2 linked regions of the Cricetulus griseus genome follow. The protein of the gene in region 1 interacts with the protein of each later gene in a biochemical or structural test. Links are inferred from orthologs where the notes say so. Each region holds a gene or a part of one and is shown on either strand. Other genes may lie near its edges. The genes, in order: Atf7ip and Mbd1.

The links.
Region 2: the proteins of Atf7ip (region 1) and Mbd1 form a complex in vitro, tested with the Homo sapiens proteins (2 studies listed by BioGRID). The link is inferred for Cricetulus griseus from reciprocal best matches to the Homo sapiens genes ATF7IP and MBD1.

Annotation. Positions count from the first base shown.
Region 1 is NC_048601.1:12,458,533-12,462,456, reverse strand, and holds the start of Atf7ip (activating transcription factor 7-interacting protein 1), read left to right. Parts: upstream 1-884; 5' UTR 885-1,172; coding exon 1,173-1,189; intron 1,190-3,924. UniProt on the Homo sapiens protein: Recruiter that couples transcriptional factors to general transcription apparatus and thereby modulates transcription regulation and chromatin formation. Can both act as an activator or a repressor depending on the context.
Region 2 is NC_048595.1:165,544,900-165,548,723, forward strand, and holds part of Mbd1 (methyl-CpG-binding domain protein 1), read right to left. Parts: intron 1,814-3,824; coding exon 1,699-1,813; intron 1,610-1,698; coding exon 1,440-1,609; intron 1,363-1,439; coding exon 1,280-1,362; intron 1,039-1,279; coding exon 998-1,038; intron 625-997; coding exon 478-624; intron 387-477; coding exon 258-386; intron 1-257. UniProt on the Homo sapiens protein: Transcriptional repressor that binds CpG islands in promoters where the DNA is methylated at position 5 of cytosine within CpG dinucleotides. Binding is abolished by the presence of 7-mG that is produced by DNA damage by methylmethanesulfonate (MMS).

The sequences.
Region 1 (3,924 bases):
CATAAAATGAGACAATGATCGTCTTTTAGTTGGTTTTTGCCACCTCTTTTAAAAAGTTGTAAGAAATGCCAACATTTCGATAGACATGACACAGGGTAATTAAACTTGAGGACTGAATACCAAAGAAGATGGAAGAAACTGGGCTCCATAGCTGATGGCAAAGGAAGCAGAAGAGGTCCTTTGTGTTGCCTCCCTTTCGCCTGTTCTGCGCCCGCCCGCCTGTGTCTGTGCCAGGCCTGTTTTGCTGGCAGTGTTCTCAGATTTGGCTAAGTGTCGGTCCCTCTTCCAGACTGGCCTGGACCCTTTTGTCCTCCCTACTTTTCCTTCCCAGAGAGTCTGCATCCTCCCTGACTTTTTCCTGTGCCACCTGAGAGTGTGTCTGTCACATCTGGACCACAAAGAGAAGAAATGTTTGATTTTATGAGAAATTACTAAATTAAGCTTTGTTGCCACCTTAGACTTTATTGTTAAAATTAGAAAATGTGGTTGTAAACTTGGATTGAGCACTTCTGAAGATTAGATTCTGTGGGGAAATTTTTAATTAGCTTTTTAAGATTAAAATTAACTTGATCTAATGAATATAAGATTTAAACAAATTTGACACTCTTCTTTTGATGGATGTATTCTATTAAAGGTAAAGAAGAAAAAGTAAAAAAAAAAAAAAAGGGTCTTGAGCTGGGTTTGAGGGGTTTGACTTTTTTCCTCCCCTTTTTTTCTGGACTGAAATGGAGGCTTTCTTTCAGGCGAATTCCCTAGTGTTTGCTCTGTGTGATCTGGCTCTATCTCTGTAACTGCTAAAATGTGGCATGGATTTCAAGTTGTTTGGGATCGGAATGTGCCCAAAGTCTGTTGCAAGTCCGGATTCACAGGCATTTTGTTGTAAAACTGGCTTGTTGCCTTCCGTTTTCTTTTTCTGTGTGCTAAGTAGCTGCATTGTTTGTTGCAGTATATGCATTAGCTATCTGTGTTCAGTTTCCTGCAGGCTGACAAAGTGGGCGGGGCTTTCTTTGATACATGGCTGAGTTTTCACTGTGTGAGTTCTTGAGTGCACGTTGCAGCCATCTTAATTACACTTTTGTGCAACTGAGACTGTGCAGCTGTCTCAAAATGGCTGCTAACCCAATCTCTGAGGCTGCTTAGGCAGCAGATCTGCCAGTGAAGAGACTTGTCACATGCATCAGGATCTGAGGTAAGAACCAGTAAGCTTTTATCTTTAAACATTACAATTAGAAAACATTTGAACATAACCAGCTTTGTATAGGAAAGAGAATTTGCCTGTGAAGAAGTTGCAACGTTTTCTAAGAGCAGTAAACCTATATTAGAGAAACAGTATATTAGGATGGTGAGGTCAAAGGTTAAATTCCTGTGATTTCTCACCATTTTGTTGTCATTGCCAGAACATTTGATCACCACAGTAGTGCTTTTCAAACTCGAGTGACTTATTACTCCTTGTGTATTGGATAGTTAATTCATTAGATATTTGTAGAAATTCAAACAATGTATTAATTGAGCATTTTTTAAAAGAAATTATAAATTAGCCTTCTTTGGAAAGAGGAGTTTCTGCTTTTTAAAATGAGTTATTATTTGGTAGCTTTGTAAAAAGTACTAATTTGCTATATAAATCAGAAAAATAGTGTCTTTTTTATTTTTTATTATATGCTTCAGTGCTTTCTCATGTACTGCTTTTTATTTTATAATTAATATATATTTATAATATCTCACTTTTTCTTTATTTTTTGTTTGAATTGACATTTGAATCCAGATTTTAAATTTTAGAATAATTTTACATATAGACCTCAGACCTTTTTATTTTTAAAATCTAATGTAGACTGATAACTAGAGAGCTGGAATAAATACTGTTTTAATTAACTAAGTGACATTATTATGTATATTTAAAACTTAACATTCAAAGGGATTATAAATTTAAAGGTTTTTTAGCATTGTAAAACAGAAATATTTGCTGAACTAGTAGAGTATACAGTTTCATGGTTACCTAGCAAGTTGGGAGAATAAATTTTTCTTCCTTCCTTTTTCTTTCTTTAGACATGATCTCAGTGTGGTCCAGTGTTGGCTCTAGTTTGCTGAGTAGCCTAGGTTGCCTTGGGCCCCTTACCTCCAGCCTCTGTCTCTCCAGGACTGGGATCACATGCATACATGCTGCCATGGATTCCCAAAAGAGGGAATGGAATTTAATCACATAATTTGGGGAGAACAGTTACATTTTAAGCGGTGCTTCAGTTATAGTAATTACTGAATTGTTTTCTGAATGGTACATTATACTCCTGTAATTGTGTCAATAGAATATTTTAAACATATTCTTGACTAATACAATAGAGAACAGTTCTGAACATTCTGTATAGAGCTTTTATTTTCCATTTTTGTAAGGTTTTACTCTTTTTACCCCTCCTTCTCTGTTTTTACTTTTTTAAAAACAGATCTGGCCTTGACTTTGCAATCCTCTTGCTTCAGCCTCCCAGAATTATAGGCAAGTACTACCAAGTCTGGTTCTAAAAGCAACTTTTAAAACAGCAAATAATTAGATTTTTGCAAATTCTTAAATTCTTAGGGAAGGCCCCAACATATCCAACATATTAAAAGCTTACACATGAAATTTTATTTTGTACTTATTTTATAGTATGGATTTATAAAATTTACTTGTTATAATTGTATTTAATAAATGAGGTATTATAACAAAACTTCGAAATGAGAGCACATATGACGTTTAGAAGTTTATATTATTGTGCAGATCTAGTTCACTTAGCCTCTAATGCACTATGGAATTCTGTTTGAAATTTATCCTTGAATGCATCTACTTTTTTCTTTCTTTTTTTGTTTTCTTAAAGATGTAGACTAAAATATTAGATCTGCTACTTAATAGTTGAAAATTGCTACCTTGTCATAAACATAAATTTATACTTGCTCTTGGTTTTATATATATATATAAAGTGTGTGTATCTATATACATAGATATATACATACAAGTTTAATATAAATTTTTTGTAATTTAATCACAAGTAAAATGATGACTCATCATAATTTGAATGATAATTCATATAATCACCTGGAAATGTTCATTTGCCTCAAAAACAGAAACAGGAAAACTTGCTTTGTGTGAACGTGTGAGCAAGTCTGCTTTCCTTTCTGCTCAGTAGCATGACAGGAGAGGGAACTACTCCAGCCTCAGTCACTCCTTTTCATGTCTGAGTAGTTCAGTGTCTTGGTGGAAGAATGGAAGGGGATTATGGGATTTAAATATGTAGATCTGAAGATAGCCACTTGGTCTTTAATGTGGAGGAAAATGGATTAGGTTGACATTAGTGAACAGTTTATGTTGGCATTCACGTTTTTTGCCTTTTGTTGCTGAGTGTAGAGTTTACACTCATACTTACCAGTTATGCATGGGGAAATCTAAACTCTGGTTACTTAGGCTATCATTGCTAACTTTACATTGCTGTTTTCCATTTCTATAAGCATAGACTAGATCTTGGATAATTTTGTGTTGGTTGCAGCTTTAAAATTTCTGTGATGAATTACTTATTTATTACTAGTACTACTACTATTATTATTATTAATTTTTGGCTTTTTGAGACAGGGTTTCTCTGTCTGTAGCTGTGGCCCTCTGTGTGTAGTCCTGACTTTCCTGGAACTTGCTTTGTAGACCAGGCTAGCCTTGCACTTACAGAGCCTCCCAAGTGCTGGGACTGAAGGCATGCACCACCACTGCCTGGCTTGGAAACTGAATTCTTGAGGCCATTTATATTGTCCATTCTTCTTTCTCCTCCCTATCGCTTACCCCTTTTCATAGGCTACTTAAAAATAGATTTAGTGTAAGTCTCAAAAGTTCATTGATTCAAGTCGACATTTCAATATGAATCCCCTTTTGGTTACCTTTTTCTGAAACTGGCTCATTTCATTTCTTCAGTT
Region 2 (3,824 bases), on another chromosome or scaffold:
GGGGGAAACCACAACCTGGGGAGGGCACCGGTGACATCCTTGAGGGTGGCCACGGAAACGATGAGCAAAGTGCTGGCAGAGAAAGGCAGATAGGCAGAACCAAGGAGGTGAGCATGGGACAGAAAAGAAAATATGACATGAGGCAGGCAAAGCCAGATTAGGCGGAAGCAACAGCAGCCATGGTGGTAAATTTAATAGCAGAATGAGCACTGGCCCAGCCTTTGCTCCACCAGCACTGGTCTCTCAGCCTGACTCACCCAAAAGCAGCGCCGCTGCATACACCTCCACTGGCGCTTGACACCAGGGCGGGAAGGGCGAAGGCAGACTCGGCAGCGGCCACAGTCTTCTTGGGTCTGACAGCCCCGACACACTCCACACCCTCGACTCTGTGGGGGCCGGAGTTGTGATGTATGGGGTCAGGGCCTTGAAGGCCAGGGACTGAGGAGAGCCTTGGCACACCTCATCTGACTGACTCACCTTCTCCACAATCCGCAGGCAGCGTCTCTGCTCACACTTGCAGAAGAGTCCTGAGGCTACATCATGGGGCAGCTGCAGGCGGCAGATAGAGCAAGTCCCACAGTCTTCTTTTACCAGGCAAGCTGTACACTCTCCACAGCCAACTCTCTGTCAGAAATGTATGGGGTAAGATTAGAAGCCTAGACAGGGGACTCAAGGACCACTATCCTTCCAAATGTTAGCCATGCTTATTAGTCTCCCGTTAACCTCTTTACTCTAGCTAATAAACTACTGATTAGCTTACCAACACCAAGGCCACTACTGTTCCTTCTACTAGTGCTCTGTTAAATTCATCCCTGTGTCTACTAGTACCCCATTAATTACCATTATTGCATCTACAAACTAACCAACAGCAGGTCTCAATTTAAAAAACAACAACAAAAACAAAAAAACAAAAAAGACCTGTCATGACTCCTAAACCCTCCATCAGTCCTATGACATCCTGTTCTCTTATAGACTATGGGAAATATACTGTTCTTACCCTAAACATTCTCTGTTCTCGGTTGAAGGCAATTCTCTGTGCTGGTGGAAGAAGGAAGAATGGTGAGAAATGGAAAAGAAGCAACAGACACAGACATATGGCTTCAGCTACTATCTTAACCCTGACTCTCACTGTTCTACATATGCCAATAGAGTAGGGTCACAGGCTGATTCCATATATGCCCAAAGCCGCTATCCTATCCTGACATGTACTGTATAACCTCCAGCTTAGCCTGGCACTGGATCTAATATGTGGTTTGTCTCCTAATTCCTAGGGACTTACCTCGGCAGTCTTTGCACAATGTCTTAAGCCTCTGCCTTTTGACACCATCCCATGAGAAGTGGTTTCCACAATTCTCACAGCACCTAAAATTAAAAGAGCAGAGCTATGTACTCCCAATCCCAAGCCTCACCCACCTGGCTAACCTTAAGCCAACACTCACCCAGGTGCAGATAATGAAGCTGGAGCTGTGCCAGTGCCAGCCTTATTCTCATCCTGTGGAGTCTCCTTCTTGACCTCACTCTTCTGAGGCCCAACCTGACGTTTCTTGACCTTGGATGGTTTAGAAGGCTTCTTTTTCTGCTTGCTAGGGACAGTCACGGGATGATGGGTCTAGAGATGAAGACAGGAAGAGTGTGGGTTAGTACATGGGTATCACGTGACACAGGTGCCCTGGCACGGACACTGACATTGTGAAGTACCTTGGGAGCTGGATAGCACAAGATGCCTTGTCTGAAGTCAAAGAGGGTAAGATCACATGCGGGGCCTAGGTATCGAGTCAGCTCAACTTTGCTTCGAATCTTGTCTCCTGTGGGGCTGAAAATGAACCACAATGAGTTGGCACCAAGAGGGAGCTAATGTCATGCCACCCACACAACATCCCCACAGATTTGGTGAGATGCAAGAAGCAGTCTGGATTCAGCCTGTGAGCCCCACCCAAGTCCTACCTCAATACAAGTAACAGGAATACAAAATATGAATATAAATACCATCATGCACACAAATGTTAATAAATAATAGAGCTGTGAACCTCATTTTGATCCATGCCATCACATATTCTATAGTAAATCCATAAAATTATAATACAGGGGAAAATTCTATTATCTGGCAATACTATACACACAACATTATACAGGCATCTGTAGTGATGTTAGTGTAAACAAACCTAGTGTAATACCACAGTACATACTTGATTAATAATAACTACAATTACTGGTTTATGAACTTAGTGTGATTTTTATCATTTTAGAGTCCTACATATGAAAAAAATTAATGTACTGTGAAACTGCAATGTTAGACTAGTAGTACCCTGATATAATTAAATGATTATTGCTTCTCTTGACTTCCTAATTCTCTCTAGTGTTTGATTTAATCTCGGGATTTTTATTCAGCAAAGGAGCATATTCCATAGCATATACAGTTATGTGGTATCCAACAATGCTCTCATCAATAATCAACTATATATACATGACAGTCCCTAAGATTATACTTTCTAATGACACCACACGTCCTAGCTTTATAATCTATGATTTTAACATGAAAAAATCATTTATAACATGTTCTCAGAATGTATCAGTACCAATAAGCAATGTATGACTATATGAATATTTAGCTTAGGTGTATAGTGTAGTGTACTATATCACTGAGTTTGTGTATTCCTCAGATTGTATTACTATTGGTAACTGTGCATAGACACATAAGCAGGCAGGGCACTGTACACATGCCTTTAATCCCAGCACTTGGGAGGCAAAGGCAGGTGGGCGGATCTCTGAGTTTAAGGCCAGCCTGGTCTATACAATCAGTTCCAGTATACCCAGGGCTCAGTAGAGAGAGACCCTGCTCCAAAATAAATAATAATGAAGACACATAAACATACTTACAACATGTAACACCATTAGTGTTGAAAATATGAGTAAAAATCAACACAAAATAGTAAGTAAGTAAGATATAAATATGTATTTTGGTTTGTTTTGCTTTGAGATGGGGATATCATTTTAACCCAAAGGGCTTTGAAACTCATATGTAAAGAAAGATGAACTTCTGATCCTCCTGCTTCTACCACCCCAGTGCCAGTTTTTCAGAAGTGTATATAGTACTAGAAATCAAACTCAAGGCTCCAAGAACACTAGACAAGTACCCAGTACTCAAATGTTATGTATTACATACCAAATGCATGATCATAAAAGCTTATAACAGAACTATTTTTTAAAACATGAAAATGAAATTATATTCAATACAAAGTATAAGTAGCTAATGTTGAGGGATGACATTCTAGGTCTTTTCACTTCTGCAAGAATCATCAGAGGCATTCATTATCTCCTGAAACAAACTACCTTCTCATTGTTTGTAAAAACAGGTAACTTTTGAAAAGGTCCCCTCCCTTCCAGGGGAAAGGACAGCAATGCTTATCATACTGATACTTGATTTTCTAAACTCAAATACACAGGCTGCCTTTCCTATATACAGTGCAGCATATATGCTACTTAGCCCTCTTCATGTCATCCTATGGGGATTGGGATTCTAAGAAATGCCAAAAACAGGTATTTTAGGCTCTGATACTACTGTGAGAAATTTTTTTTATATCTGGCCCAGGAAGTATCACATTTCCTATCAGCATCCACAAAACTAACAAACCCATTTACTAGTCTGATAAATATGTATCTTTTGACAATTACTTGTAAGTTTTGAAATTTTTATACAATTTCATATGTGGAAAAAGTTAAAAACATAAAAGTTGAAAATATCTGAAATTTTATGATATTCTAGGGAAATGACAACTTAGATAAACAGGAAGGGTGTAGAAATGTTAGTAGCTGTTTCACGAATA